Macaca fascicularis: one gene and its partners. The protein of the gene in region 4 purifies or fractionates together with the protein of the main gene of each other region. This does not show direct contact. Links are inferred from orthologs where the notes say so. Each region holds a gene or a part of one and is shown on either strand. Other genes may lie near its edges. The genes, in order: CDC37, SSR4, tubulin alpha-1A chain, LRRK2, EMD, RPL23 and DNM1L.

Evidence for each region.
Region 1: the proteins of LRRK2 (region 4) and CDC37 purify together in Homo sapiens (co-immunoprecipitation; 8 studies listed by BioGRID and IntAct, with this or other methods). This does not show direct contact. The link is inferred for Macaca fascicularis from reciprocal best matches to the Homo sapiens genes LRRK2 and CDC37.
Region 2: the proteins of LRRK2 (region 4) and SSR4 purify together in Homo sapiens (co-immunoprecipitation; 3 studies listed by IntAct, with this or other methods). This does not show direct contact. The link is inferred for Macaca fascicularis from reciprocal best matches to the Homo sapiens genes LRRK2 and SSR4.
Region 3: the proteins of LRRK2 (region 4) and tubulin alpha-1A chain purify together in Homo sapiens (affinity purification with western blotting; 4 studies listed by BioGRID and IntAct, with this or other methods). This does not show direct contact. The link is inferred for Macaca fascicularis from reciprocal best matches to the Homo sapiens genes LRRK2 and TUBA1A.
Region 5: the proteins of LRRK2 (region 4) and EMD purify together in Homo sapiens (co-immunoprecipitation; 3 studies listed by IntAct). This does not show direct contact. The link is inferred for Macaca fascicularis from reciprocal best matches to the Homo sapiens genes LRRK2 and EMD.
Region 6: the proteins of LRRK2 (region 4) and RPL23 purify together in Homo sapiens (affinity purification with mass spectrometry; 3 studies listed by BioGRID and IntAct, with this or other methods). This does not show direct contact. The link is inferred for Macaca fascicularis from reciprocal best matches to the Homo sapiens genes LRRK2 and RPL23.
Region 7: the proteins of LRRK2 (region 4) and DNM1L purify together in Homo sapiens (co-immunoprecipitation; 6 studies listed by BioGRID and IntAct, with this or other methods). This does not show direct contact. The link is inferred for Macaca fascicularis from reciprocal best matches to the Homo sapiens genes LRRK2 and DNM1L.

Annotation. Positions count from the first base shown.
Region 1 is NC_088393.1:10,965,632-10,969,890, forward strand, and holds the start of CDC37 (hsp90 co-chaperone Cdc37), read right to left. Parts: upstream 2,801-4,259; 5' UTR 2,716-2,800; coding exon 2,614-2,715; intron 1-2,613. UniProt on the Homo sapiens protein: Co-chaperone that binds to numerous kinases and promotes their interaction with the Hsp90 complex, resulting in stabilization and promotion of their activity. Inhibits HSP90AA1 ATPase activity.
Region 2 is NC_088395.1:159,854,312-159,858,515, forward strand, and holds the start of SSR4 (translocon-associated protein subunit delta), read left to right. Parts: upstream 1-1,404; 5' UTR 1,405-1,435; coding exon 1,436-1,502; exon of another isoform or gene 1,503-2,494; intron 2,495-2,620; exon of another isoform or gene 2,621-3,118; coding exon 3,119-3,237; intron 3,238-4,201; coding exon 4,202-4,204. Other genes in the region: IDH3G (isocitrate dehydrogenase [NAD] subunit gamma, mitochondrial), read right to left, coding at 993-1,073. UniProt on the Homo sapiens protein: TRAP proteins are part of a complex whose function is to bind calcium to the ER membrane and thereby regulate the retention of ER resident proteins.
Region 3 is NC_088385.1:55,999,726-56,001,742, forward strand, and holds the end of tubulin alpha-1A chain, read right to left. Parts: coding exon 2,010-2,017; intron 1,693-2,009; coding exon 712-1,692; 3' UTR 501-711; downstream 1-500. UniProt on the Homo sapiens protein: Tubulin is the major constituent of microtubules, a cylinder consisting of laterally associated linear protofilaments composed of alpha- and beta-tubulin heterodimers.
Region 4 is NC_088385.1:46,790,266-46,793,765, reverse strand, and holds part of LRRK2 (leucine-rich repeat serine/threonine-protein kinase 2), read right to left. Parts: intron 3,289-3,500; coding exon 3,059-3,288; intron 2,650-3,058; coding exon 2,522-2,649; intron 1,331-2,521; coding exon 1,112-1,330; intron 1-1,111. UniProt on the Homo sapiens protein: Serine/threonine-protein kinase which phosphorylates a broad range of proteins involved in multiple processes such as neuronal plasticity, innate immunity, autophagy, and vesicle trafficking.
Region 5 is NC_088395.1:160,350,052-160,354,032, forward strand, and holds EMD (emerin), read right to left. Parts: upstream 2,801-3,981; 5' UTR 2,649-2,800; coding exon 2,567-2,648; intron 2,444-2,566; coding exon 2,339-2,443; intron 2,180-2,338; coding exon 2,102-2,179; intron 1,888-2,101; coding exon 1,754-1,887; intron 1,300-1,753; coding exon 1,250-1,299; intron 1,166-1,249; coding exon 841-1,165; 3' UTR 431-840; downstream 1-430. UniProt on the Homo sapiens protein: Stabilizes and promotes the formation of a nuclear actin cortical network. Stimulates actin polymerization in vitro by binding and stabilizing the pointed end of growing filaments. Inhibits beta-catenin activity by preventing its accumulation in the nucleus.
Region 6 is NC_088390.1:59,850,097-59,854,196, forward strand, and holds the start of RPL23 (large ribosomal subunit protein uL14), read right to left. Parts: upstream 2,801-4,100; 5' UTR 2,774-2,800; coding exon 2,761-2,773; intron 2,167-2,760; coding exon 2,083-2,166; intron 2,052-2,082; exon of another isoform or gene 1,917-2,051; intron 1,786-1,916; coding exon 1,657-1,785; intron 1-1,656.
Region 7 is NC_088385.1:35,334,089-35,337,588, reverse strand, and holds part of DNM1L (dynamin-1-like protein), read right to left. Parts: coding exon 3,437-3,500; intron 3,113-3,436; coding exon 3,080-3,112; intron 1,299-3,079; coding exon 1,122-1,298; intron 954-1,121; coding exon 844-953; intron 1-843. UniProt on the Homo sapiens protein: Functions in mitochondrial and peroxisomal division.

The DNA of each region.
Region 1 (4,259 bases), on a different chromosome or scaffold from region 4:
AAAGAAAAAAGAAAGACAGACAAGGTCTTGCTATGTTGCTCAGGCTGGACTTGAACTTCTGGGCTCAAATGATCCTTCTGCCTCAGCCTCCTGAGTAGCTAGGACTATAGGCATGTGTCCCCACATGTGGCTGTGGAATTTTTTTTTAACCATTCACAAAAATTATTTAAATGATGATGACGGTAATAGCTACTGCCCCAAAAGGATTACAAATATTAAACGAATAAGGTAACCCTTACAACAACCCTATGGGGTGGACATCATTCAGATTCTCAGGTGCTCAGGCACAGAGCAATCAAACAATTCCCTGGCACTCACGCAGCATGTGAGTGACACAGACAGAGCTGAGATTTGAACCTAGTCAGGCCTGTGCTCAGAACCACAGCGATCTCTCCTTCCCCTCCACAATGCTTCCTTCCAAACCTGCCCCAAGTTTTCCTGCCCAATCTTAATTTATTCTTACAAAAGTCTCAGGGAGGTGGGGTCATAGTATCCCAGGTTTCATACGGGATCAGGGAGGCCTGAGTCTTGCCACATCAAAGAAAGAAAGAAGCAGCAAGAGGCAGGACTAGGATTGGAACGCAAGCTTGCCTGTCCTTGAACCTGTGCTGGAGACGCTGAAGCCCCCTGCCTCCCTTACGTGCCACTACAACCACCGGGTTCTCAGCGGTAGGACAGGAAAAGCTCCGTGCCAGAGGGAGGAGGGTGTGGCAGGTACGCTACGCTGCAGGAGGGGGGCCCTCCCACTCGGCAGGACCAAACCATTCTCCACAGTAGTAAAGATTAACCTCTTTATGTGACAGAAATAGGTCTTCCCAAGAATAGTCTTTGGAGCTTTGTGGAAGTCTTAAATATTTCATAATAAAATGTTACACACGGCAAGAAATAGAAGCGCTAGAACTTTCTTCCCACACTCCAGTGGCTCGCTTGGCAGGTACACTACCCAGGAGACTCAGGATTTAAGGAAGAGGTCTGGAGGTGGGACTGGGAGCTAGATAAAGAGACTAATGCCGTATTCTGGAGTATTCCAAAATGATGGGGAAGGGAACTTCTAGTTGTTTCTTGGATAAATGATGGGGAGTTGTCCTATGAGAGGGTGGGGTAAGAGATCCTCACTAGAAGGTTCTGAAAGGTATATGCCCTTAGTTTAAGAGTACAACATGGCTGGGTGCAGTGGCTCACGCCTGTAATCCCAGCACTCTGGGAGGCCGAGGTGGGTGGATCGCCTGAGGTCAGGAGTTCGAGACCAGCCTGACCAACATGGAGAAACCCCGTCTCTACTAAAGATACAAAACTAGCCAGGCGTGGTGCCGCATGCCTGTAATCCTAGCTATTCAGGAGGCTGAGGCAGGAGAATTGCTTGAACCCGGGAAGCAGAGGTTGCAGTGAGCCAAGATTGTGCCACTGAACTCCAGCCTGGGCGACAAGGAAACTCCATCTCAAAAAAAAAAGAGTACAACAGACACTGATATGTGATTTGGGGTAGCAGGAGGTTAAACCTTTAAGTCTTAGTCACCCCATTGGCTTGTGAGCACTGAGGGGGTGGTAGGACATGGATCACTCAGACTTGGGATTCTGGGGTCTGGATTTGGGGGTTCTGTTGTGGTCCGATAGAAGAAGGGGTAGTGAATTTAGAATCAGACCAGGAGTCCCTGGAAAAGAGCAGGGACAATTTGGGTCACAGAGTAGCGATCAGGTTGGGGACACAAGGTGGGGTGGGTTTGGGGTCCTGGGCTTGAGTTAGGGGAGTTTCCAATGCTGGCCAAGGCTCATACAGGAAGCCAGTCTGGGAGGTGGGTGGTGACAGGGTCTGCAATACCAAGTAGGGGCAGGGGCTCTGGCTGGGCCGGAAGCCACGTGGGCAGGATTTCCTGGTCTAATGGGAAATGGGTCTACCCGAGGCCAAAGGAGAGGCTGGAATGTGAGGCTCTGTCGGGGTGGAGCTGGTAGTTAGATCCAGAGGGGAACCAGGTTCCACAACCGAAGTCCTCGGTGAGACTAAGGATCCTGAAGGGGGACGGCTCTACACTCTAGGAAGGGGGTCCCGGGTGTGGGCAGGGACAGGAATATCAGAGTAGCACAGAGTTCCTTGTACCGTTTAGAAAAGGAGTGGCGACTCCGGATCTGAATGGGAACCCCGGATCAAGATCCCGGAAAGTAGATCCCAGGACAGACCAAAGTATTGGGGGTCCAGACTACGGAGGTGGGGGAGGGCGACGTGAGATCCCAGATAGGGAGTGGATACCCGAATAGGATGAGGGATCATCTAGAAGAATTTGGGGACCAAACTTTGAGGCAGAGTTCTGGGTGTAAATGTTAACTCCGAACAGAATTAGGGAGACTCGTCTAAGGCAGTCCAGACTGAAGAAGTTCTAGGGGGTGAATAGGGAATCCCACGCAAAAATCGGAGCAGGGGGTTGGGGGGAGATCCCGAGCAGGGACTCAGGGTACCAGTGGTACTGGGGTCCTGGAGTTGAATCGAGGCTCCTGAAAGTCCAGACTGAGGGGGTGAGAATCCTAGGTGTGAACAGTGGGGTCCCTGGGCAGTATCGGGGACCACAACTCTGGAGCGGGGTCCGGGAGTGGGGAAAGGGATGGGCGCGCGCGCCTTACCTGATGCCGCCAGCGGAAGAGGCTGGCCGTGTCGATGTTGGGGTGCGTCTCGTCTTCATCATCAGACACCTCAATGTGGTCCCACACGCTGTAGTCCACCATCTTGCCTTGGCGGCCCAGCCCGCTACGGCTCGGTTGGCGGCGACGGCGGCGGCGCTGGAGACTTGGTGCGCGGAGCCCCGCCCCTTCCGCTTCCGCCCGAGTGCGGGGGAAACCCCGCCCATGCCTGACGTCACATCCCTAGTAACCGCGGCAGCGGCACTGGCTACCCATTCTGCCTTAAAGGGCCTTGCGCAAGCGTTCCAGTCCCCTGAAGTTCCCGCAGAGACTCCACCTTATCGGGCGCAGGGGCTCCGCTAGGTCTCCTGGGGGCATACGAGTGGGCACTTCAACTCCTAGCCCCCCTCATCTCCCGCCTCTCCACGGTGGGCGTTTGGGGTGGCAGGGAGAGGACGGTTGATGAGACTAAGAGGACTGTCCCCTCAGCTACGCCGCAGTGACGTCTGCAAGGGGTACGGACACGGCGGGAAGGCCCTCCCCCTGCCCTTCGTAAACGGGGACCTAAGCCTGCTCTGGAGAGGGGCGCCTGACGACTCCTGGGACTTTCTCAGCCCGAGGAGGACTGGACCTGCCCTGGGGGTGTCTAAATAGAGGGTGGTATGGCCCTCCCCTTGAGGGGTTAAACATAGAGGGGAGATTGTGGCTCTGCCTTGGGAGCCTTCTCCTCGTCCTCCAGCTCCGGCCATTAGCAGCAAGGACTCGCGCGCGCGCACATACACACACACACACACACACACACACTTTGGAATCACCCGGACCCCCCATAACGGGTCTCGGCGCCCCACCCCGCGTGACCGCTGGGTGTCGCTAGAGTCTAGCCTACGGCGCGTATTCCTGGTCCCGCGCTTGGTGGGGGAATCTTGGAGGGGTGGAAGGGGGCTTTCCTTTTCGTCACAGTCTGGGGTCACGCATAGTCCCTCCCCGTTTGTCTGGGGGTACCCTTCCTCCGCCGGGGCTCTAAGGACTCCATTACTCTAAGCATGCAGGGCCCTGGCCTCACACTTCCACGCATCCCAATCCACGCTTTTATACCAGGATAATAGGCCGCGTTGCAGTCTCGGGCCAGGATTATTTTAGATTAAAGGGTGCTCCATCGGGGGTCAGGCTGGATAGGAGGAGCTCCAGCCACTCGGGTGAGGGGCGCCTCTTCCCAGTCTCCCCTGGAGCCGACGTCGCAGGCGGTGCCCGGAGAGAGCGAGCGAAAGTCTCCAGATGGGGGGAATTCCCCAGTGCATGGAGGGGGAGGGGCCATCGGACAAAAACGCCCTCCCGCTGCCGCCCCTCCCCCTCGCGCTTCATTCAAACCCGCGAGTGGGCGGCCAGGGGCGGAGGAGTCCCCATCTCCTCCCCCTCCCTCTTCACCTCTACCCTGGCAGTCCAGCACATCAGTGGCTGTCACGGCCCGGGCACGCGCGCGCACGGACCCACACCCCGGCGGCTCTCACAATCGCACACACACATACACACACACCAGCAAACAAAGGGTCTGGACACCCCCGTCCCCTCCCGCCCCCCAGGCCAGAGAGGGCGGGGCATCCCCTCCCCAGCCCCCCCGCAAGGTAAGCTTGGGGCTGCGAGCTGCGGTG
Region 2 (4,204 bases), on a different chromosome or scaffold from region 4:
CAGGAGCCCAGTTGCTAGAGCCATCAGAGCCTCTGGAAAGCCACTATATGCTGCCGTCCTTTCAGCAGCAAGGTAGGAGAAGTCGGCATTGTCAAGAGAATTTCATTAGGCACAAGCATCTCCCCCAGAGGCCAGAAAGAGAAAACAGCAAGTAGAGGTGTCCCTGGTGAGTGGCAACAAAATCACGGAGTTCTGGAAGGTCAGAGTTGACAGGATCCTTTGAAAACATGAAGTCTCCCCTCTGGGTTCCAAAGGGGAAACTGTAACCCAGAGAGAGGAGAAACTGGCCTAAGGCCACGCACTGGGTCAGTGGGGGAGCATGGCCTAGAGGCCAAACCTCTTACCCATCAGGGCCAGCTGCTTCAGATGGTTTCCAGCCCACCTAGGACCTAAATTAACCTCTTCTTAAATAAGCGTAAGGAAAAAGGACTCAGACCTGAATACGCAAGACCGCAGACCAAGAAGAGCAGAAGCAAAACCCCCGCAGCCTGAGAAACCCTAGCTCCTTCCCATTCCAGGCGCCTCGGGGGGAAGGCATCTGGGGCTCTAAGACTGTGGGAGGATGGGGTATGACTGGCAAAGTCCGGTTCTTTGCCACCGGGACAAGTGGCAAAGCGGTCAACGAGACGGGAACCCATGGAGAAATTTGAGTCCCGGAACCGGATTCCCGAAGCGGTTTGAGAAAGGCGGGCCGGGATACGTGAGTGACTGCGTCAAAGGGCTCTTTCAAGGACAGTAAGGAGGTGACAGCCGCCGTGGCCCACTCTCCCGGCCCGTCCGGAACCCCCCCCCCCGCCACCCGATGCAGACGCCCTGGGGGAGCCGGCCCAGGGCCAACTTCGGCCAATCCCCTCAGTGACAGCGGAGGCGGCCAATCAACCCCGGCGCGCAGCCCTCTCCTAGCCAATCGGACTCCAGACTGCTTCGGGAGCGGCTACCCCACCGCTCCCCTGCGAGCGCTGCCGCGGCCCCGTGGCCCTTTCCCTGCTCACCTCCCAGGGACGGCAGAGAAGGGCTGGCCTGAGCACTGCCTTCGCAGCGCCGCCGGCGACCGTCGCTACCTTCAGCGCCATGACGGAAAGTGAGAGCCTCCGCACGTCCCGTCACGCAGACACCGCTCTCGCGAGAGTTCCACGGGGTGCGAAGTTTCGGGGACCGGCGCGGGCCCGGTACTGCGCACGCGCGCGGTCTCACCGATTCCCACGCCCCCTTCCGGCGCCTAGAGCGCCGCTGCCGCCATGTTGATGGGGGATCGCGACCAGCTGGGCCCCTGTCTCGGGGAGGGGCCACGTCAGTGCTGCCAGAGACGTCACAATGCCGGCCCGGCCCTTCGGTGCACGATTGGCTGCCGCTGTCACTTACGCGTCGCTCTTCCTCGTTTGCCCCTCGTGTTCATGGGAGCTCGTTTTCTTTTCCTCTAGGCAGAGAAGAGGCGATGGCGGCGATGGCATATCTCGGCGCCCTGGCGCTGCTCCTGCTGTCCAGCCTCTCCCGCTGCTCAGGTAGCGGCCCAGTCGGGGCTTCTTTCTGGCGAGCCTCTGACCCACCCCACGTGGTGTTGAGGGGAGGAGGGATGCGGGGGTCTGGCTTTTCGGGGTCCGTCGCTGAGAGCCGGGCCTTCCTCCGAGAGGCAGGCGGCCTTGGGACGCGGGGACCAAAGCACCTCGGGCACGTTTACCGGCAGCCAGGCTTTTCCTTGTCTGCCCATACGAAGAGGAGTCCCGGAGCCTCCACCGTGCGCCCGGCCCCCAGCTCCAGCACGGAACGTGACACATGTCCCCGCTCCCGCTCCCCGCGGGGTCGGACCAGAACGAAGCTCTGTAGTGCTGAGCGATCGCGGTCAAAAACGGGGCTGGAGGAACCACATAAGCTAGGAAGGGACCTCAGTGAGGAGAGGGAGCAAGAACGGGGCGAGTTAGATGGGGAGCCAGAGGTGCGCAGGACCTTGAGTGCCAGGCCGAAGACTGGCCTTTCCGGAGGGCCCTGCCTTACCCTTACCAGAGTTTTCGGCAGAGCCTACCAGGGGTCCCGTCGATTTGCGTTCATGAGGGTCTGAGGCTCCAGAGTGTGTTTAGGAGGTGGCTGCAGCAGCCAGTCCCGGGCCCGGGGGCCAGGACTGGACAGGGGTGGCTTTCTGCACATTCCCTTTTCTGCCGTCCTTCAGGCCAGTAGCCTTGCTGCCTGCAACGTTTTGCCAGCTTAACTGGCCTCCCTGCCCGCACCCTCTTGTCTGCCCCTCAGGAATTCCCTGAGTTATAGCCAGGGACTTATCCAGAGGACAAGCCTGGCCATAAAACCCTTTCGGGGGCTCCCCTGCGCCACAGGAAGCAGGCCCAACTTAGGCAGGACACAGAAAGGCTGGTAGGATCTGGCCCCTGAGAGCGGCCTCCATGCTGTTCCTACGGATCTGCCTCCTCTGGTCCGGACCCAGAGCCTTCTCTGACGTCCTCTGCTGAAGCCGTCATTCTGCCGGAGCATCACATTTGGACAGCTGGTGACTGAGAACGTTCCCATTTTGGGGAGCCTTTGTTTCACACCCTCTGATGTAGGCGGCAGCCTGTCTTTCCTGTGGGCCTCTGTGGTTATGGAGAAGGCTAAGGCAGAGTCCTTTCTCTCACAGCTGACAAGTTGTGCTTCTGGAAGCAGAGCCTCTCCTGATGACTTCCTCAGGAAACGCTGGGGCAGTGCATTGCCTGCCTGCAGCCCTACCCCTGATGTCTCTGCTGAGGATGCCTTCAGTAACCCGTCCAGGCCGTTTGTGGTTCTGAATGGAGGCTGGCCTGGCCCCCTGGCCTCCGTGTCATAGGTCCAAGCGTTGGCATGTATTGTCCAGTGAATCCAGCGCCCACCTGTCCCCAGCACACGCGTTCGCTCTTCCTGCACACCTCCAGAAAGCCGGCCTTGCCCCTCTCCAGTCTGCTTTCACAGCCATCCCACCTACCTTGCCACTGCATTTGTGACCGAGCACTTGGATCTGTCTGGATCCCACCTGGAAGGGACAGGAGGATCCCGTGCGTCCTCAGCTGATCCGTGCTGTGAGGCAGGGCCCGGCCATCCTGCCCTCAGACTGGGATACTCGAGCTGGCCTTACCCAAGCATCTCTCCCTCTTCCCTGCAGCTGAGGCCTGCCTGGAGCCCCAGATCACCCCTTCCTACTACACCACTTCTGACGCTGTCATTTCCACCGAGACTGTCTTTATTGTGGAGATCTCCCTGACATGCAAGAACAGGGTCCAGGTGAGACAGTGGGGTTTCAGACAGGAGGGCGGGTGGGGGTGCTCCTCACTGCCAGTTGATGGGGGACCCGTGTCAACAGAGATTCCAACTCTTGGGGTGCTGGAGAGATCAGGGCACGGCGATGCCAGATCCTAGCCAGTGTTGACAGGTCACCTTCCTCACCTGCTTTGTGTGCTGTGCCTACACGAGGTAACACTGGGCTCACAACCTGTGTCCCGAATGAGTATCTGAACCGGGAGAAAGGGCAGCCCACCCTCGTTGCCATTGGCCAGTTTGTCTGTGTGGGTGTTTTGTCTTTGTTTTTGTTTTTTGTTTGTTTTGAGACAGGGTCTCACTCTGTTGCCCCGGCTGGAGTGCATTGGCACGATCTTGGCTCATTGCAGCCTCCGCCTCCCGGGTTCAAGAGATTCTCCCCTCAGTCTCCCGAGTAGCTGGGATGACAGGCGCTTACCACCATGCCCAGCTAAGTTTTGTATTTTTTGGTAGAGACAGGATTTCGGGTGTTTTAACTTCAAGATTGAGGAGCCTTGGCCTTGGCCCCTGACCTACGTTCCCAAAAGTCCAAAGAAGGAAATGGGGCCTTTTTTTTGGGTATGGCTCTCTTAGGGTAAAGCACCCCTTGGGCAGCCCACTGGGCATCCCGGACCCCAGCACCTCCCTTGTAGACTCAGGAAAATCACTCGGCCCTTTTGATCATCCCGCCCCTGCTCACAGTCAACAAGGTTCCTATGCGTCCAGTTAGGTCCGACCATGGGGATCTAGCCCTGTGCCTCCGTAGGGAAGACCGATGCAGAGGGCCAGTCACAGGATTGGTGAGTGTTACCTGGAACCTCCTGCCAGGGACACTGCAGCCCCCAACTGGGCCTAGCCTACCCATCTGCAGGCCGTGTGAGCAGCACACAGGGTTCCTCTGCCCACACCCAGAGAAGGCAGAAGGTGACCCTGCCTTTGTCTCCTCACCCAGAAC
Region 3 (2,017 bases), about 9.2 Mb from region 4:
AGCCGGGAACAGTGGTTCACACCTGTAATCCCAGCACTTTGGGAGGCCGAGGCGAGCGGATCACTGGAAGTCAGGAGTTTGAGACCAGCCTGACCATCATGGTGAAACCCAGTCTCCACTAAAAATACAAAAATTAGATTGGTGGTGGATGCCTATAATCCCAGCTACTTGGGAGGCTGAGGCAGGAGAAGCTCTTGAACCCAGGAGATGGAGGTTGCAGTGAGCCCAGATCACACCACTGCACTCCAGCCTGGGCAACAGAGCAAGACTCCATCTCACAAAAAAAAAAAAAAGAAAAAAAGTACGTGATGCTCTGTGATGGTAATCTTTAGATATACATTTTATGTTTCACAAATAAAAGTTTTAAATTCCTAAGATACTTTAAAACACAAACGTCACGTCATAGGATATGTATAAACCACAGGCAACACTTATTCTTTATTCTCAATGCACTAAATAAAATTTCAGACACCCAGATAGAAAACACAGGACTGAATTCATTTAAGACAGGGAATACTTTATTCAAAACCCATCACAGAAATGGACAGCTTGGGTCTGTAACAAAGCATTCATGTTTTAGAGCATAGGTCAGTAATTGTATATAAGAGCATACACTGCTACATACAAATTAACTGAGCAGACCACAACTTTTCAACGTTTAAAACAGAATAAGCTTCCCTGTAAAAGCAGCACCTTTGTGACATTTTAACTTTAGTATTCCTCTCCTTCTTCCTCACCCTCTCCTTCAACAGAATCCACACCAACCTCCTCATAATCCTTCTCAAGGGCAGCCATGTCTTCACGGGCCTCTGAAAACTCGCCTTCCTCCATCCCCTCACCCACATACCAGTGAACAAAGGCACGCTTGGCATACATCAGGTCAAACTTGTGGTCCAGGCGAGCCCAGGCCTCAGCAATGGCTGTGGTGTTGCTCAGCATGCACACAGCTCTCTGAACCTTGGCCAGGTCTCCACCAGGCACCACAGTGGGAGGCTGGTAGTTGATGCCAACCTTGAAGCCAGTGGGGCACCAATCCACAAACTGGATGGTACGCTTGGTCTTGATGGTGGCAATGGCAGCATTGACATCTTTGGGAACCACATCACCACGGTACAACAGGCAGCAAGCCATGTATTTACCATGGCGAGGGTCACATTTCACCATCTGGTTGGCTGGCTCAAAGCAAGCATTGGTGATCTCTGCTACAGAAAGCTGTTCATGGTAGGCTTTCTCAGCAGAGATGACAGGGGCGTATGTGGCCAGAGGGAAGTGGATGCGGGGGTAGGGCACCAGGTTGGTCTGGAATTCTGTCAGGTCAACATTCAGGGCTCCATCAAATCTCAGGGAAGCAGTGATGGAGGACACAATTTGACCTATTAACCTATTCAGGTTAGTATAGGTTGGACGCTCAATATCAAGGTTTCTACGACAGATGTCATAGATGGCCTCATTGTCTACCATGAAGGCACAATCAGAGTGCTCCAGGGTGGTGTGGGTGGTGAGGATGGAGTTGTAGGGCTCAACTACAGCTGTGGAAACCTGGGGCGCTGGGTAAATGGAGAACTCCAGCTTGGACTTCTTGCCATAATCAACTGAGAGACGTTCCATGAGCAGGGAGGTGAACCCAGAACCAGTTCCCCCACCAAAGCTGTGGAAAACCAAGAAGCCCTGAAGACCGGTGCACTGGTCAGCCTATTACAAAAGAGAGAAACAGAGGAAAGGTTAAGTTTTTGTTCTTTGTAGTACAATCATAGGAAATATATTTTCACTTTTCATACATCTCCCAGGATTTAGATCTTATTTTGACAAATGCTTTTTAAAAAATTCTCATTAACATTTACAAAATGATACCAAATAGTTCATTTTAACTGATAAAAACCCCACAAGAACGACTCATTCCACTCTTTATTAAAATAACAGTTCAATTCTGTTTGAAAAAAAAAAAAAGCAGTATTTCAAATGTGTTCTTTAGGCTCATTAATTTACTTTATTCTTGAAAAGAAACATACCAGCTTAC
Region 4 (3,500 bases):
ATTCTCTCCCCGGACACCGCAAAATCCATCACTTTTACAAATGGCTCATTAGGTTTTGCAGAGAAGCACACATAATCTATATAAATGGATTATGTAAGCTAACTGGCCAACGCGGAGTTATAACCAAGGTGACTATATAATTTATCATCCAAATTGGAATGCTTTTGAGAATATAGTGGGACACTATTAATAATTACGCTGGTACTGCCCAGGCGAAATAGGACTCTATTTATCAGCCAGGATCTTGATCATTAGTGCTAATGAGCTAAGCCAAGAGGGACTAAGTGAAATTCATCATTATATTTGTCATATGGAACTATCAAGGGTATTTTTCAGTACAGTTTACACCACACTCCCTGTAGATCCCAGTGAATATTTCTTTTTCCTGCAAGTATTAAAAAAAGAGGGTTGTCTCTGATAACTGATTTATTTATGCTTTATAAAGATTTGGCTTACCAGAAGAGAATTTTAAACATTTAAAACATAATTCCTAAAATAAAAAGTCCATTTTGTATGAACTAAGTAATTAGTGAGATACTACCGAAAACCAAGTCAGTGGTCTTCATGACTAAATAAAACAGCTGCCTCACAATACAGAGGGGAAAAAAATTGGAATGGGAATCACCGTGACAAAATACATGAAGGAGTGGCACAAAGGATCAAGATGTCCATAAAATAGGAATTGCAAATGAAAGGAGCAAATGGAAAAATAACAGTCAAAGAATAATAGAAGAAAGATGATCCCAAGACCTCAGTATTCACCTTTACCCTTGGACTGAACCACCACTACAAGAAGTTGGATGAGAAAAGACATCAAAAACATTTTCTCAGATTCTCTCTCAGAAACATTTTCTCAGTATCCCAGAAATGTTCTCTTAGTTTCTCTCAGAGTCCTCTAATTATTTTTTATTCCCATTTCTATGAATTAGAAATGAAGTCTGGTATAAATAATTTTAAAATGGAAAAGACTTTAACAATGCTAACAGCAACGGGGAAAGAAACCCCACAATTTTAAGTGAGTTGCTCACTTCTCAAAATTTCTGACATTTCTAGACAGTTGCATAACATGAGAATTAATAAATTACATTTCTCTACCAGCCTACCATGTTACCTTGAAATTAAGGCTCTCGTATATGATGGTTTTCCGAAGTTTTGCCAAAGCATCAGATTCCTCGGTGGCATTCACAAAGTGGTAATCTCGTATAGCAGGGAACCCTCGCTTATTCAGGAGTTCCTTGGTGATTTTACCTATGCAGGCTTTGCGCTGCCTCTCATCAGAAACATCCAAATGTGTGCCAACGAGAATTACAGGGGAAGAAGAAGCGCGAGCCTGGAGGGAAAGACACAAAACCCTCTTGTGTTTGCTTTCAAATTGGGCCTGCTCACATTCCTGTTGATATTTGCTTTCCATGACATTCACTTGAGTGGAAAAGAGAAACTAACAGACTTCAGAAGAAGAAAAGAACAACTGTCCTTTTTTCCTTAAACCTAAGAAAACAACGTAACCTCGACATTTTAAAAAATCATTTTTAGGCTTTCCTTAATCCAGTTTTTATCCCTTTTAGGTAGCCTATATAATGGTAGTAGCATAGTTTTCCTTTCTCATCTTCATGCCTTAAGATGAGTTATCCACTCCTAAATAAAACAAGCATTTCATAAATCCACAAATTATATCAAATTAACGTCATATCATGTATATTTTCTCTTCCTTATCTGTGAATTTAATCTTCTAAATTCATTTTAAAGTCATTCAATTTGGAGTCTACAATGAAAGAATAAAAGCCATTCAAGCAAGTATGACTGCCACTGTAATATTTGCTCATGTTGGCTAGCTGTAAAAAAGTTAATAAAAGAAACATTAAAAAACACCCAAATTACAAAACAAGCATGTATGCAGCCAAATGACATGGTTGAATATCCTGACACAAGCCTTTTTAAGGACTTTGCTCACAGAAGAGCTCATTGCAGCATCATGCAAGCAGCATTTTAGTCTCAATTCTTAAAAGCCACAGTGTTTGAAGGCATAGCTGACAACAAGACAACAAAGGAAAAGATACAAAAGCAACAAAAGGGAGATTCCAGACATAACAGCATAATAATCTGGGACCACTTAAAGGATACAATCTGAAGGATTTCACACTAAATGGCCCCTGAGTACGAAGTTGATGATATATATAGATTGCTTTTCTTTAATATAGCTTATTTTAAATTAGAAAAATTTAGATTTCATTTAAGAAATAATATGATTAAAAAAACAGTTGAACATATATATTTTCAAGTTTCACAGCATAAAAGAATTTCGGGTTATCAATAACATTCACCAATATGGAACATACCATTTTCATGTTATGATTTAATTACTCTGAAAGTTTCCCAACTCAAAACTTTAGTGCTTCTTTTAAGAAAGTATTTAAAGAGACTGAAGCAACTGTTTGCCCAAAATAAATTAACGTGTACACACACACACACACACACACACACACACACTATTTTCTATTTTCAAAAGATCAGAATAAATCACCTTTATATTGAAGAGCCAAGGCTTCATGGCATCAACTTCAGCCTGTCCTTTGCTAAGGTCATAGACAGCAAGGTACAATGCTCGCTGCGTCATAAAATGAGGATGAGTGCTATAGAATTCTTCACGACCTAAATAAAGATTAGAGACAAATTTTTTAAATCTTTCAAACAACAGGCAAGAACTCTTTTTAAAAAAATATCTGGGGGAATAATACTATTTTTTATTTAGCATACTAATAAGAGAAAAACAACAGATAATGTTTAGAGAACTATTCTGGGTTTTTACAAGAGATTGACCACTTTTAGCATATATGGCACCAACCGATCAAAATACCTAGCACCGTATTGTTACCAACATATCCCTCCATGTTCTCCTCCATTCTGGAGGCAAGGGTAAAATTAGGAGAAGTAAAGGGCTTTGGAATAATTCTATACAGTATACCAGGTTTCTGGATATTAGAACAGAAAGTTCAGTTTTTGAATCCCTGTTCAAAACAAATGGTAAAAGTGAATTTTAAAATTCTATAGAAAGAAATACCTGCAAAATCCCACACATTCAGAACGAGATCTCTCTTTCTTTTGCCTCTTATTTGGATAGGCCAGTCTTTCACATCTATGCCAACTGTGGCACTTTGCATTCCAAGATCTGATTTCTTGGTTTTCATTAATTGCTGCAACAAGGTGGTTTTACCACTCCCAGTATTTCCAACAACCATAAGTTTCATTCGGTTATAGGGCACAGCCTTTTTTAACCGCTGCTGAAGAAACCTAGTATTTGAAATATAAAAATAAAATAATAAACTATTGAAAAGTACACTTAAGATTTAGGTGAGTTCTTTTGCATGTCACACTAGTCTAAAATATAATATCCAAAAGACTGCATAGCTCATATAACTAATAATGTACATGTCTTTCAGAGTACTGTTAATGCATATATTTTGCTAGACATTTTAGTGTGGTTGATAATATTTGGTAAAATC
Region 5 (3,981 bases), on a different chromosome or scaffold from region 4:
CTACAGGCGCCCACCACCTCGCCTGGCTACTTTTTTGTATTTTTAGTAGAGACGGGGTTTCACTGTGTTAGCCAGTATGGTCTCAATCTCCTGACCTCGTGATCCGCCCGCCTCGGCCTCCCAAAGTGCTGGGATTACAGGCTTGAGCCACTGCGCCCGGCTGCTTTGCCTGAATTTCTAAGTGGGTTCTCTGTATACGCCTTGTTGTACCACAATTATATGTATAAGCAGTTACAGGTGCTTTGGGGAATGAGTTAGGGAATAAAACTCCCAAACAAAACACAAACATCTCTGGGTAGCATTTGATTCCTATCCCCAGACCAAAGCAAAAATGCGGACCCAACAAAGCCAGATTGCAATCCTCGAGTCCCAAGACGCAGAGGCCCTTGCCATGGGAGCCCAACCCTCTCCTCCAGGAAGAGCCAACGCATTAAAAATAAATGGGGTTTTTATTGTGTGTCCACGAAAACAAAGGGTGGCCTTTGGTTAATCCCCCCCAACAAGATGACAAAAAGGAGGCATGCATGACAACAAGAACCATGTTCTCCTCTGACTGAGCGAGGCCTTGCCCTCCTGGACCCTAAGGGTTACAGGCAAGCAGGGCCAGGAGGCTGCCGAGGAAAGCACACTCAGGCCCCCATGGAGGGCCTGAATCTGCTGCCTCCCTGGTGGGACAAGGCAGGGGGAGCAAGCACTACTCTGGGCTAGGCCCAGCGCCCCCCAAGCAAGAACACATAAAAGCCCCTGCCCCTGCCCCTGCCCCCACACCCACCCCCACCCCCACTGCTAAGGCAGTCAGCCAGGACTTCCCCAGAAGACCTGGCTCTGAAGCCCAGACCCTCATGGCTCCCTCTGGAAAGGGTTGCCTTCCTCAGCCTGCATGAAGTAGTAAATGAAAAAGAGGACGATCACAAAGACCAGGAAAAGCAGCAGCTGGCCCCAGAGTGGGACCTGGTGATCCTGGCCCAGCCCAGCCCCAGGAGCATGGTTTTCAGGCCGGATGGCACGGCGGGTGAGCCATGAAGAGGAAGATGATGAGGACATAGAAGAGGTGGAGGAGGAAGTAGGATAATAGGACAGGTCCAGGGAGCTCCTGGAGGCTGAAACAGGGCGGTAGTGCGTGATGCTCTGGTAGGCACTGTCCCGGCCGTACATGGGGCGTTCCCTGAGGCAAAAGAGGGGAGCAGGTGGGCCAGGAGCCTGGGTCCAGAACCAGCCCCTGTCCCTGGCCTTCCCCATACATACATACCTATCCTTGCACTCCTCTTCAGAAGACGACAAAAGGTCGTCATCACGTACCTGTAGAAGAGAGTCAAGGTGAGGGAACTGGCTGGCAGGGCCACAATGGCCCTGCCACGTCCCTCTCAAATTTCCCCAGCAGGTCCCCTCTGACCTTTGGTTAAAGGCCAGGGACCCACACCCTCCTGAATGACTCTGGGTGTTCGGCCTTTTATCCATGGGGCCTTGCTACTTGTGCTCATGCCCCAGCATCCCCCTTTGCCCCCAGGACTCTCAGGAAGAGCTGGAGCCTAGATCCCAGACCAGGGTGCAGGACGCATCCTATGTGCTCTAGTCACATAGTTCTGAGGGCTCCCCAAAGTAGGACCCTGACCAAACAGGTGTCTGCTGAGCCAAAGTCTCCCCAGAGGCCCAAGGGCCACCATTTGTACCCAGTGGCCCCCTGGATTTATCCAAACACAGCCGCGATCCCCTAGGTTGTACCCAAGTACAGTACGCCTGCCAGCCAGCTCACCTGGTGGTGGAAAGTGTCAGCATCTGGGAGTGAAGTCACAGACTGGCGGAAGCCCCTGGACGGGCCCGCAGACTCGGGCTCCCCATAAGTCCTGGTAGTGAAGTAGCTCTCTTCATAGTAGTCGTCATTGTAGCCTTGGGAAGGGGGGCAGCGGTAGCAGAGGGGGCATCGGTGTGCCCCGCCTGGCCCGATGGCCCTAATCTGAATCCCATTTCGGGACCTGTGACAGTTTCTCCCTCCTAAGGCTGCTGGAGTGGTTGGGACTGAGGTCTCAGGTCCTCCCTGTGAGCGGGGTCCCTGACGCAGTCGGGTGAAGGTGCCAGCGTGCCCACCCAACCCCTGCCTTACCCTTGCTCTGGTAGAGTAAGGCGTCCTCTTTCTTGGGAAGATCATACATATCTGAATCCCCTGACGTCGAATTCAACTCTGGATTGAAAGGAGGAGACAGAACTGTTTGCCCCCCCACCCCCACCCCAAGGCTTCCCTCCCCTTTCCCCAGTGCCGCTCTCGACCGGCACCCCTGCCACACCCTCGCTACCTCATCCTCCCCGCGTCCCAGGCCGTCCCCACAGGCGAGGCTCTCACCAGAGAAGCGATAAGAGGAGGCAGCGGACGAGCCGGGGGGCGAGAGCCGCCGCCTCTGGGTCTCATACTCGAAGATCTTCTGCTCGTAAAGCCTACGAGTTGATCCTGGCCGGACACGGGGCGGTCAGGGCCGCAGTCCGGGGAAGGGGCGCGGGGAGGGCAGCGGGGAGGTCGCGGGGCGGAGCACGAGGAGGGGGCCCGGAAGGGGTCCCGCCCGCCGCCGCGTACCTACTACAGGCCCGTGCGGGATGTTGTACCGGCGCAGCAAGGCGGTCAGCTCGGTATTTGAAAGATCTGCGTAGTCGTCCATGGCGGGTGCGGGCTCGGGCGGAGGCCTGGCGGCGGCCCGGGCCTACCAAAACCGGCCGAGCAACGGCTGCCTAGGAGCACGGCGGGGGCGGCACGAGTGCATCGGGAGCGGCCGCACTCGCGTCACAGCCGAATCGCTGTCGCGTCACGGCCGCTGGCTCCGCAGGCTGCGCGCGCTGCGCTGGGCGGGACCAAACGGCGGGAGTAGCCGGCACAGACCGGCCGGGCCTTGAGAGCTGGGAGGCTGGGGCCGCGAGCCCAAACGTCATCAACTCACGGATTGGCTAGCGGCAGAGAGGGCGGGCCCCCGGGAGTCAGGGTGGTGGGAACCGGTCTCGCGGTGGGAGCGGGCGGGGCCGCAAGCCCATATGTCACAAACACGGGAATTGGCTAGTGATGGAGGGGGCGGGGCCCGCGCAGGCGCGGAGCAAAAGGTCTTGCGTTGGGAGCGAGCGGAGCGGAGAGCCCTTACGTCACAAACATGGGGATTGGCTAGCGATGGAGGAGGCGGGGCCCGCGCGGGCGCGGGGCAGAAGGTCTCGCGGTGGGAGCAAGCCGCGCCGCGAGGGGCGCCACACGTCACTAACGCACGGATTGGCTAGCGGCGTAGGCGGCGGGGCCCGCGCGGGAGTCAGGGCAATGCAAACTGGTATCGCAGTGGGAGTAGGCGGGGCTGCGGGCCCAAAAGTCACAAACGCACAGATTGGCTAGCGGCAGGGGGCGGGGCCCGCGCGGGAGTGAGGGCGACACGGCTGGGAGCCAAGACGTCACCCTGTGGCGCGCTTGAGCCAGCCGGGTGAGAGGGATGGGGCCTGCGCGCTAGGGACCCGGGACGTGCGAGCGGGCGAAGTCGGCGCTTGGGGTGGCTCTGGTCCCTAAGTCACTTGGACTTCGCCCGGTCCCTGCACATCCCTGCTCCCCGCCGTCGCCCCCCTTTCCTGGGCCCCAGAGCCTAGGGTTTCCCGGCCGCATCCCGGTCGGCCGCCCCGGCAGCGGACCCTAAGAGAGCGCGGGCCCGGGGCCAGGCACTGCCGGGGGCGCTTTGTGTGCGCATTGCTCGGGAAGCGGCTGCGGGGCAAGGCCCGCGCCTATGGGATCTCCGCAGACCCCCTGCCACGGGCCCTTCTTCCCAGTCTGCAGGGCTCTCGCCCGCGCACATGTGCCTGCTGCTTCCCACCGCCTACCTCTCTGCTTCCCTTCCTCCTCCCTCACTCTACCCGGGAGGAAATGGGGCACTGGGCCAGGAGGCCGCTGGCACTCCAGAAGCAAGCAGCCTTCGAAGGGGCCCGGGCATGCCGACGGGCACGCCAGTGGGCGCGGGCAGAGGGCGCCGT
Region 6 (4,100 bases), on a different chromosome or scaffold from region 4:
CAATGAGCAGAGACCAAGCTATTCAGATTTATACTGGAAAACAGTTGGAATTCCAGGGCCCAAACACCAGGCTTTATGTTTTACTTTTAAAGTTTTACTTTCCAGTGTCATAAGTAACTTTTACACCCATCTGTACTAAAGTGAAAAAGATGCTTTTCCCAACTTTCAAAATCAAGTATCACTACACAGTAAAATATAATGCTTGTGAAGAACTATTGTAGAGTCAGACACACCTGGATTCAAATCTTCACTGATACTAGCGTGGGGTCCTTACACAGAATTTTTATAATGACAGGAAGACTATACAAAAAATAGATAAGTCTAACCAAGTTAGCAATGGGACACACATGAGGCAGCCAATACTTACTGACCCTCCTCTACTTATAAACCATTAAATGCTCACAAATTCATCAAGTAGACAAATAGACCTGGCCCTTTTGCACATTTCTGTGCTTGTTATTTATTAAGTTCCAAGGGGAGGGGATGTATTCATTTAGCAGAAACAAGGACCAAAAAAGACATTAACAGAATTGGATACTCACAGCTCGTTTTAAAACTGAAGTGTTCTGAGCTCTGGTCTGTCCCACCACTGACTGAGACCAACAATCCACTCTCCTGCCATCTCATCTACAAAGTGATGGCCATTTGCTCTGCTCTTCTCTAACAGCTCCCTGGGCCACCAATCAGACCCAGGAAGTGTTCTGAGAAGAGGAAAAAGCCCATGCAATTGCTGAATCACAAGCACAGTGCTACCAAGCCCTCAAGTGGCTATTAATGGTAAACAAAAAAAGATTTCTAACCCAAAGGTTAAAAATCTACTGGAGAGCATCGTGGAGTGGATACAGGAATAGGAGTAACTGTAACACATGGCTAACAAATCAACATCATATTTGTAACTCAAGGGATGGCCATGAACTCTTTAGAAGAGCAAGACATCCCAGGGTAGAGACAGACTAGGCAGGCACAGGAAAAAACTGCAAGAGCTGAAGTTAAAATGCATCAAATACCAGAAGTTCTAAAGCCGGACAGGACACAAACTGCAAGTATTTTGAGGCCTCCCCCTTTAAATCATACAGCTGACAGGAAAACTTATGAGGGGGTAGCCTGAGATTAAGTAATGAGCAATTAGCTGGGTGTGGTGGCGCACACCTATGATCCCAGCTCCTCGGGAGGCTGAGGCAGGGCAATCACTTGAGCCTGGGAAGTGGAGGTTGCAGTGAACAGAAAGATATGTGCCACTGCACTGCAGCCTGGGCAACAGAGTGAGATTACATCTCAAAAATAAATAAATAAAAATAAAATAATGAGCAGCTTCTCGTTTTCATTTTCTAATTTTTTTTTTTTTTTTTTTGAGAACCCAGGAGGCAGAGAGGTTGCAGTCAGCCAAGATCGTGCCATTGCACTCTCCAGTGTGGGCTGAGCGACAGAGGGAGACCCCATCTCAAAAAATAAATAAATAAATAAATCTAAAGTATGGAAATGACAAGATGATGGTCCCCCCTCCAACATAATATGAACAAAAACTTAAGATACTTATCTCACATTGCCTCTCAATGGAAAACAACCTTGAGGCCTTGAAAACTGATCCATTTTCCAATAAAGGAAAGAGTCCCCCCACTACTTATCAGTGTTAAGGTGGGCTCAGTGTTTACTCACCCTTTTTTCTGAGCTCTGGTTTGCCTTTCTTGACTGTGGCCATCACCATGTCACCCACACCAGCAGCGGGAAGTCTGTTCAGCCGTCCCTTGATCCCCTTCACGGAGATGATATACAGGTTTTTGGCTCCTACAAATCAATGTAAATAAAAATGAAAAATGTTGAGGGCCCATCAGGCCGTTCCATCAGTATTACATTTCCCAAACACTTCCAAAGTCCCTCCCTCCACTGACTGCCCAAGCAGTTAGTCCTCAAGAACGCCTTGTCACACCACCGATTGAAGCAAACAACACAACATGTTGCCACTTCACCCAAAAGCGATGTTTTCACTCTCCCCTTTCTTGACGGCTCAATAGGTCATTAGGCACAGGCCCATTGAGTGCTTTTAAAAGGGGGAGTATAGAAACCTGCAGTCAAAGACCTCACCTGTGTTGTCAGCACAATTGATCACAGCTCCTACCGGAAGACCCAAGGAAATCCGGAATTTCGCACCAGAGGACCCACCACGTCCTGTGGATATAAAGGGAAGGTAAACAGGATAAAGAGATCACTATCTAGACATGGTTCGCAGTTCCCTCTCATACTCTTAAACTGTAATTCACCGCACATACTTTGACAGATGGTATGCTATAGATTAGCTCGCTCGGATTTTACTTATGCCCTCCCCGTGTGCCACCCGATTCTCACGGAAAGTAGCCTATTTCTCACTATTACCACTCTGACATCGAAATTAAGGAACCTAGACGACTCAGCCCTTGTTCCAACTTTCGCAAAACGCAATTGCTCCTGCAAAGCATAAGACCGCAGAGGTCGCGCAAACCAGGGCCTAATCCAGTCTAACTTCAACCCCAATACGATAGCCCTATTCGCAGAGCGATCTCGCGGGATCCAGACTATATTCATGTCGGGATCCTGCTATGTCAACTCTCCAGCACCCCACTGCCACTTTCGAGGGCCCTGGCAGTGCTCTTGCGATGGCCTGGCTCTCCCTCTCCGGCCTGAAGGAGAGCAAAGCGCCCCAGCTGCCTAGGGCCACCGCTCCTGACGAATCCGCCAGCCACTGCACGACAGATGGTGGAGGATCCTCCAGAAGCAAAACCTCACCTCGCTTCGACATCTTGAACGCCGGAAAAAAGAAAAAAGGAAGTTGATTCAAAGGACGCTGGGATATGAACTTTGACGCCCCGCCCACCTTCGTCACGTGGCCGGAGCTAAAAACTCTGCCTCTTCCGCCTCTGGGCGCTGCCTTATTGCGTATTAAGTTCACGACGTTACTTTGAGCCCTCTCTGAAGTGGGCGTTGAAGTAGAAGCGCAAGAGATAGGAAATCTCTTCTCCAGGAGCTTAAGAGTAGTTAGGGACATGGAAGCAGTGATTTGTTAACTTGCTCACGACCTCTTTTGACAACTTAATACGTGCCAGGCACTTATCAGCACACTAGAGAATAGGAATTAAAACACGGTTTGTGCCGTGTGGGGGTTCCCAAAGAAACAAAGACAGTGGGGGAGGGGGGAGAACCAGCTCCAAACGGTTTCGTTCAATGTAATACAATTGAGAAGTGCTACAGATCATTCCATCTATGTGTTCTTGGTACCATACCATTCTGTATTTTACATATACAGTATTGCTCTGTTTATTGACCCGCCCCCCCCCCCCCCCCACACACACACACAGTTGTTTTTTGTTTTTTGTTTTCTTTTTTTTGAGACGGAGTCTCGCTCTTGCCCAGGCTGGAGTATAGTGGCGCGCTCTCAGCTCGCTGCAACCTCCGTCTCCCGGGTTCAAGCAGTTCTCTGTCTCAGCCTCAGAGTAGCTGAGACCACAGGCGCCCACCACAACGCTGGGCTAATTTTTGTATTTTTAGTAGAGATGGGGTTTCGCCATGTTGGCCAGGCTGGTCTCGAATTTCTAACCTCAAGTGATCTGCCCGCCTTGGCCTCTCAAAGTGCTGGGATTGCAGGCGTGAGCCCCCGCGCCAGGCCACTTGCTCCTTTCACAGCTTCAGCCGCCCCTTTCTTCTGGGTTCTTCCCGTGCCACGATGCATTCATTCAAATACTTACTGAGCTCCTACTTTGTAGCAGGTTCTGTCCAGGGCGTACAGCGGATTACATCAGACAACAAAATAGATCAATATTGTTGTCCTTATGGAGCTTACATTCTGCTGGGGTGCAGGTGGAGGAGGATATTAGACACTAAACAAAAGATATAATAAATAATTGCAGTATGTAGTATGTTAGATGGGGATAAGTATTATAAAAATATAAATAGTATCGCTTCTTGGCCTTTTGGCCAAGATCAAGTGTAAAATACAAATAGTGGCCGGGCCTGGTGGCTCACGCTTGTAATCCCAGCACTTTGGGAGGCCGAGGCGGGTGGATCACGAGGTCAGGAGATTGAGACAAGCCTGGCCAACACAGTGAAACCCCGTCTCTACTAAAAATACA
Region 7 (3,500 bases), about 11 Mb from region 4:
TTGAAGTGGGCCAAGACTATGCCACTGCACGCCAGCCTGGGCGACAAAGCGAGACTCCATCTCAAAACAAAAACACCCTCTGCAGGGGATGGGGGCAATGAAGGAGACAAATGGAATTTTTTCTTCAGGCCCACAGTGTAAAACACTAGGAACTATTATTTCTACCACAAGCTACAGGTTTAAAAAGTCTACAAGCAAAAAAGATAAATGGTTCTACAGACAAAATCATTTATTTCAATATGAAGTATATTTATTACTCTGTGCAGTAAAATTCATCTTAGCTGCTGACAGATTACCAAAAACTGGATACAGAATATTTTCTAATAGATCACTTCATACAACTAAATGTGTATTCTCCCTATTACTGCATGAAATGACATACCAGGCAACATGAAGGAGAAGATGCAGTAGGGGAGTAGACACATGCAAAAACACTCTGAACGAGAAACCGTATACATATTTCTTAGTAAAAGACATTCGTTTTGATGCTTTGGAAAACCAAGTTAAATTAAAAAGGCAAGTCAGTGTTACTAGCCAAAATAGTTAATGAAACTACTGAATTAAAATTTAGGAAAAAAACATTTTCTTAAATGACTCAAAATGTGGCAGCCATATAGAACAAAAGATTCATTTTAATAGCTTTTTCTAGCTGATACATGAGGTCCTAGTCATTCTGTGTTAACAAACTGAGTCTTGCTACAAGTTACCAAAGGACTATCAGAGAATCCACTCGATGATTTAGAATAAAAACCTAAAATTTAAAAAATACATGTATTTTTCAAAACAGATCATAGAATCATCCAGCAGTATTAGAGCCTGTGATTTATATTAAGTAATACTAACCTGTCTTGAATATTCTTTCTGACAATAAGAAAATATGATTTAATGAGTCGTTCAATAACCTCACAATCTCGCTGTTCCCGAGCGGATAGTTTCCGTGCAACAGGAACTGGCTAAATAGGGATGAGGGGGGAAAAATGTTACTTTTGTGACACTTTGAAATGGCAGCATTTAACATCTGAAAGTTATGTAAGTTTTTGAGACTTTAGTTCTTTCTGTCTAATCAATTTCCTACTAACTTGGTCATCTTATTAGACCTAAACCAAAGTGTCATGGCTTACCACATCCAGCAGATTCACAGCATGACCTTTTTGTGGACTGGCTGGCATAATTGGAATGGGTTTTGATTTTTCTTCTGCTAATAACTCTTCAGCTTTTGAAGTTTTCAGCATTCCTCTCCAATTGCCTGTTGTTGGTTCTTGAACACCATCTCCAACCCCACCACCTCCAGATGCAACCTGAAAAAACATGTTCCAAAACCTATACCAACCACATCATATCTGACCTTAACTAAAACGAAGTTCGTTTTATTTGACAGTAGTCAGTATACATCCAGTACCCATCTGAAGTTTATTCATACAGATAATGAGGTCAGAAGGAGACAGTAGGTAGCATGTATAACTGAAACCCTGACCTAACTAAATAAGAGGTTCTGCTGTAAATTGTTTGCAAGGCATCAACCAATTTATGTTCTATTTAATTCCTTTTTTCTTTATCATTTGCTCGCCAACTTTTCAAAATCATTCCTCTTCTCCCACCCTTCAAACACTAAATTGTAGAAAAAGTATATGCTGCCCTTAAAATCAAAACTACTCGTTAAAAGCACAAAGAACTGCCATTCAGTTTAATTTAAGTAATCATAAACACTGTTAAACTCTAAAAGTTCCATGAACTTATGTCTCTGAAGTTAAGAGTTTATGTATTTCAAGTCAATTTACATTCCTATAGTCAACAAAATGCCATAAGGTATCAGTAGGAACTCTTTAACAGAAAACAAGACTACATTTGCTTTTCGTAGGCTGACAGTCACTATGAGTTCTTTCAAATGTGGAATGTGATAAACACAACAGAAATCCCCTCAACCTCTGTACTCTTAAGGATTTGCAGAAAGAAATCTAGTGCTATCACATTAATCACAAGTGCTTTTACACCTTATTTTCTAGAAAATTTATTAATCTTGACTTCTAAAAGTCAAAAATGACTTTATAATGGAAAAACATAATTCATCAACATTTAAGAGGGTTTTTTTTTTTTAGTTATTCTTTAAGAGCTTACAATCTAAAAATGGATTATATAAATTTAATAGAGGATTATGGCAGTAAGAAAAATGGTAGTTTGGGGTAGCATTCTGAATCGAAATACTTGCTTAAATCTGTCTTTAATATGTCAGTTAAGGTGAACTATAAATATTAGTATATTTATATTACACATTAACTTAAAAATGAGTAATTAGGTTTTTATACATGAATGACATACCAAATGAAATCTTAAGGAGAGTGAGCACATTCAGTGTGATGTCATGAATGAAATAAAACTTGTGCAGTGATTTAGATGGTTTGCTTAATATCTGAGCACAGTGGAGCTGAGAGAAGATAAGACATTTATAAACCTTTATCTCAAGTTCAGAACTTTAAATCTGGATAATTAAGGAAAGGAACTAAATGGCAGAAAATCTTGAAATAGCAATGAGTCTGAATAATTTATACATTATTTAATTTTCCTCTAAAATTGTTATTAAGAATTGAAAACAGTCTCAAACTCTCACAGTCCCCCTGTTTGTTTTTAATTTGCTTAAGCTTCTGAAGCATATGTGAAGCTATATATAGGGTAACAAGTGCAAACTAACTGGAAGCATGAGAAAGAAGCATTAGATTAGAGGATTATCTTTTAGTACTGAACAGATCTCAAGATCTTTAAAGAGGAAAGGAAATGTCCAAAAATACAATTCCATCTCTGAAATCTAGGAAATCTCTGAATTTCCTATCAAAATATGTTAAATTTCCTATCAAAATTTAAAACTATTCTTGAAGGTCACAGAAAACAGTGAGAAAGCCTATTATTGTTACTAATTAAAACGTTTAACGCCATCTTCCACCGGTTAGATAAAAGGAACATTAAGAACATAACACAGACAAGAGATAGATACCACTACACAAACAGGTTATTTAATGGTGTTACAGACAGTGTTTCAGTGAGAACCAGAGGTACCAACATTTCCATTCTGAAGCAAGAGACTCACATTTTTAGTTTCTCTTCTGCTGTCCTGAATTAACTGTTGAAAGATATGTTAAAACATGCAATTTAACAAGCAAAATTTAAATACCAATGGGTTGAAATTTTAAAAGTGCAGGATAATCTCCTCTTTAAATTACTTCTTTTTCTGTGTGCATCTTCTATATTGCAAGCAAAAGCATGTCAACAATATAAACTCTGCATTGCATTGTTATATAATTTTAAAATATATATTAGACTAAAGTGATCTGACCTTAGCATGGTATCCCATATTAATATTCTTCTATTCAGTGTATTGTTTCCAGAAGATTATGTTGTACCAAAGAACTAGGCATGCAGGCTTAGATTAAGAATCAGAACAGACCTTGCCATCAGCCTCAGCAGAAGCAGCGGGGGAGGGCTCCTGGGAGGCAGGTGCCAAAGCACTT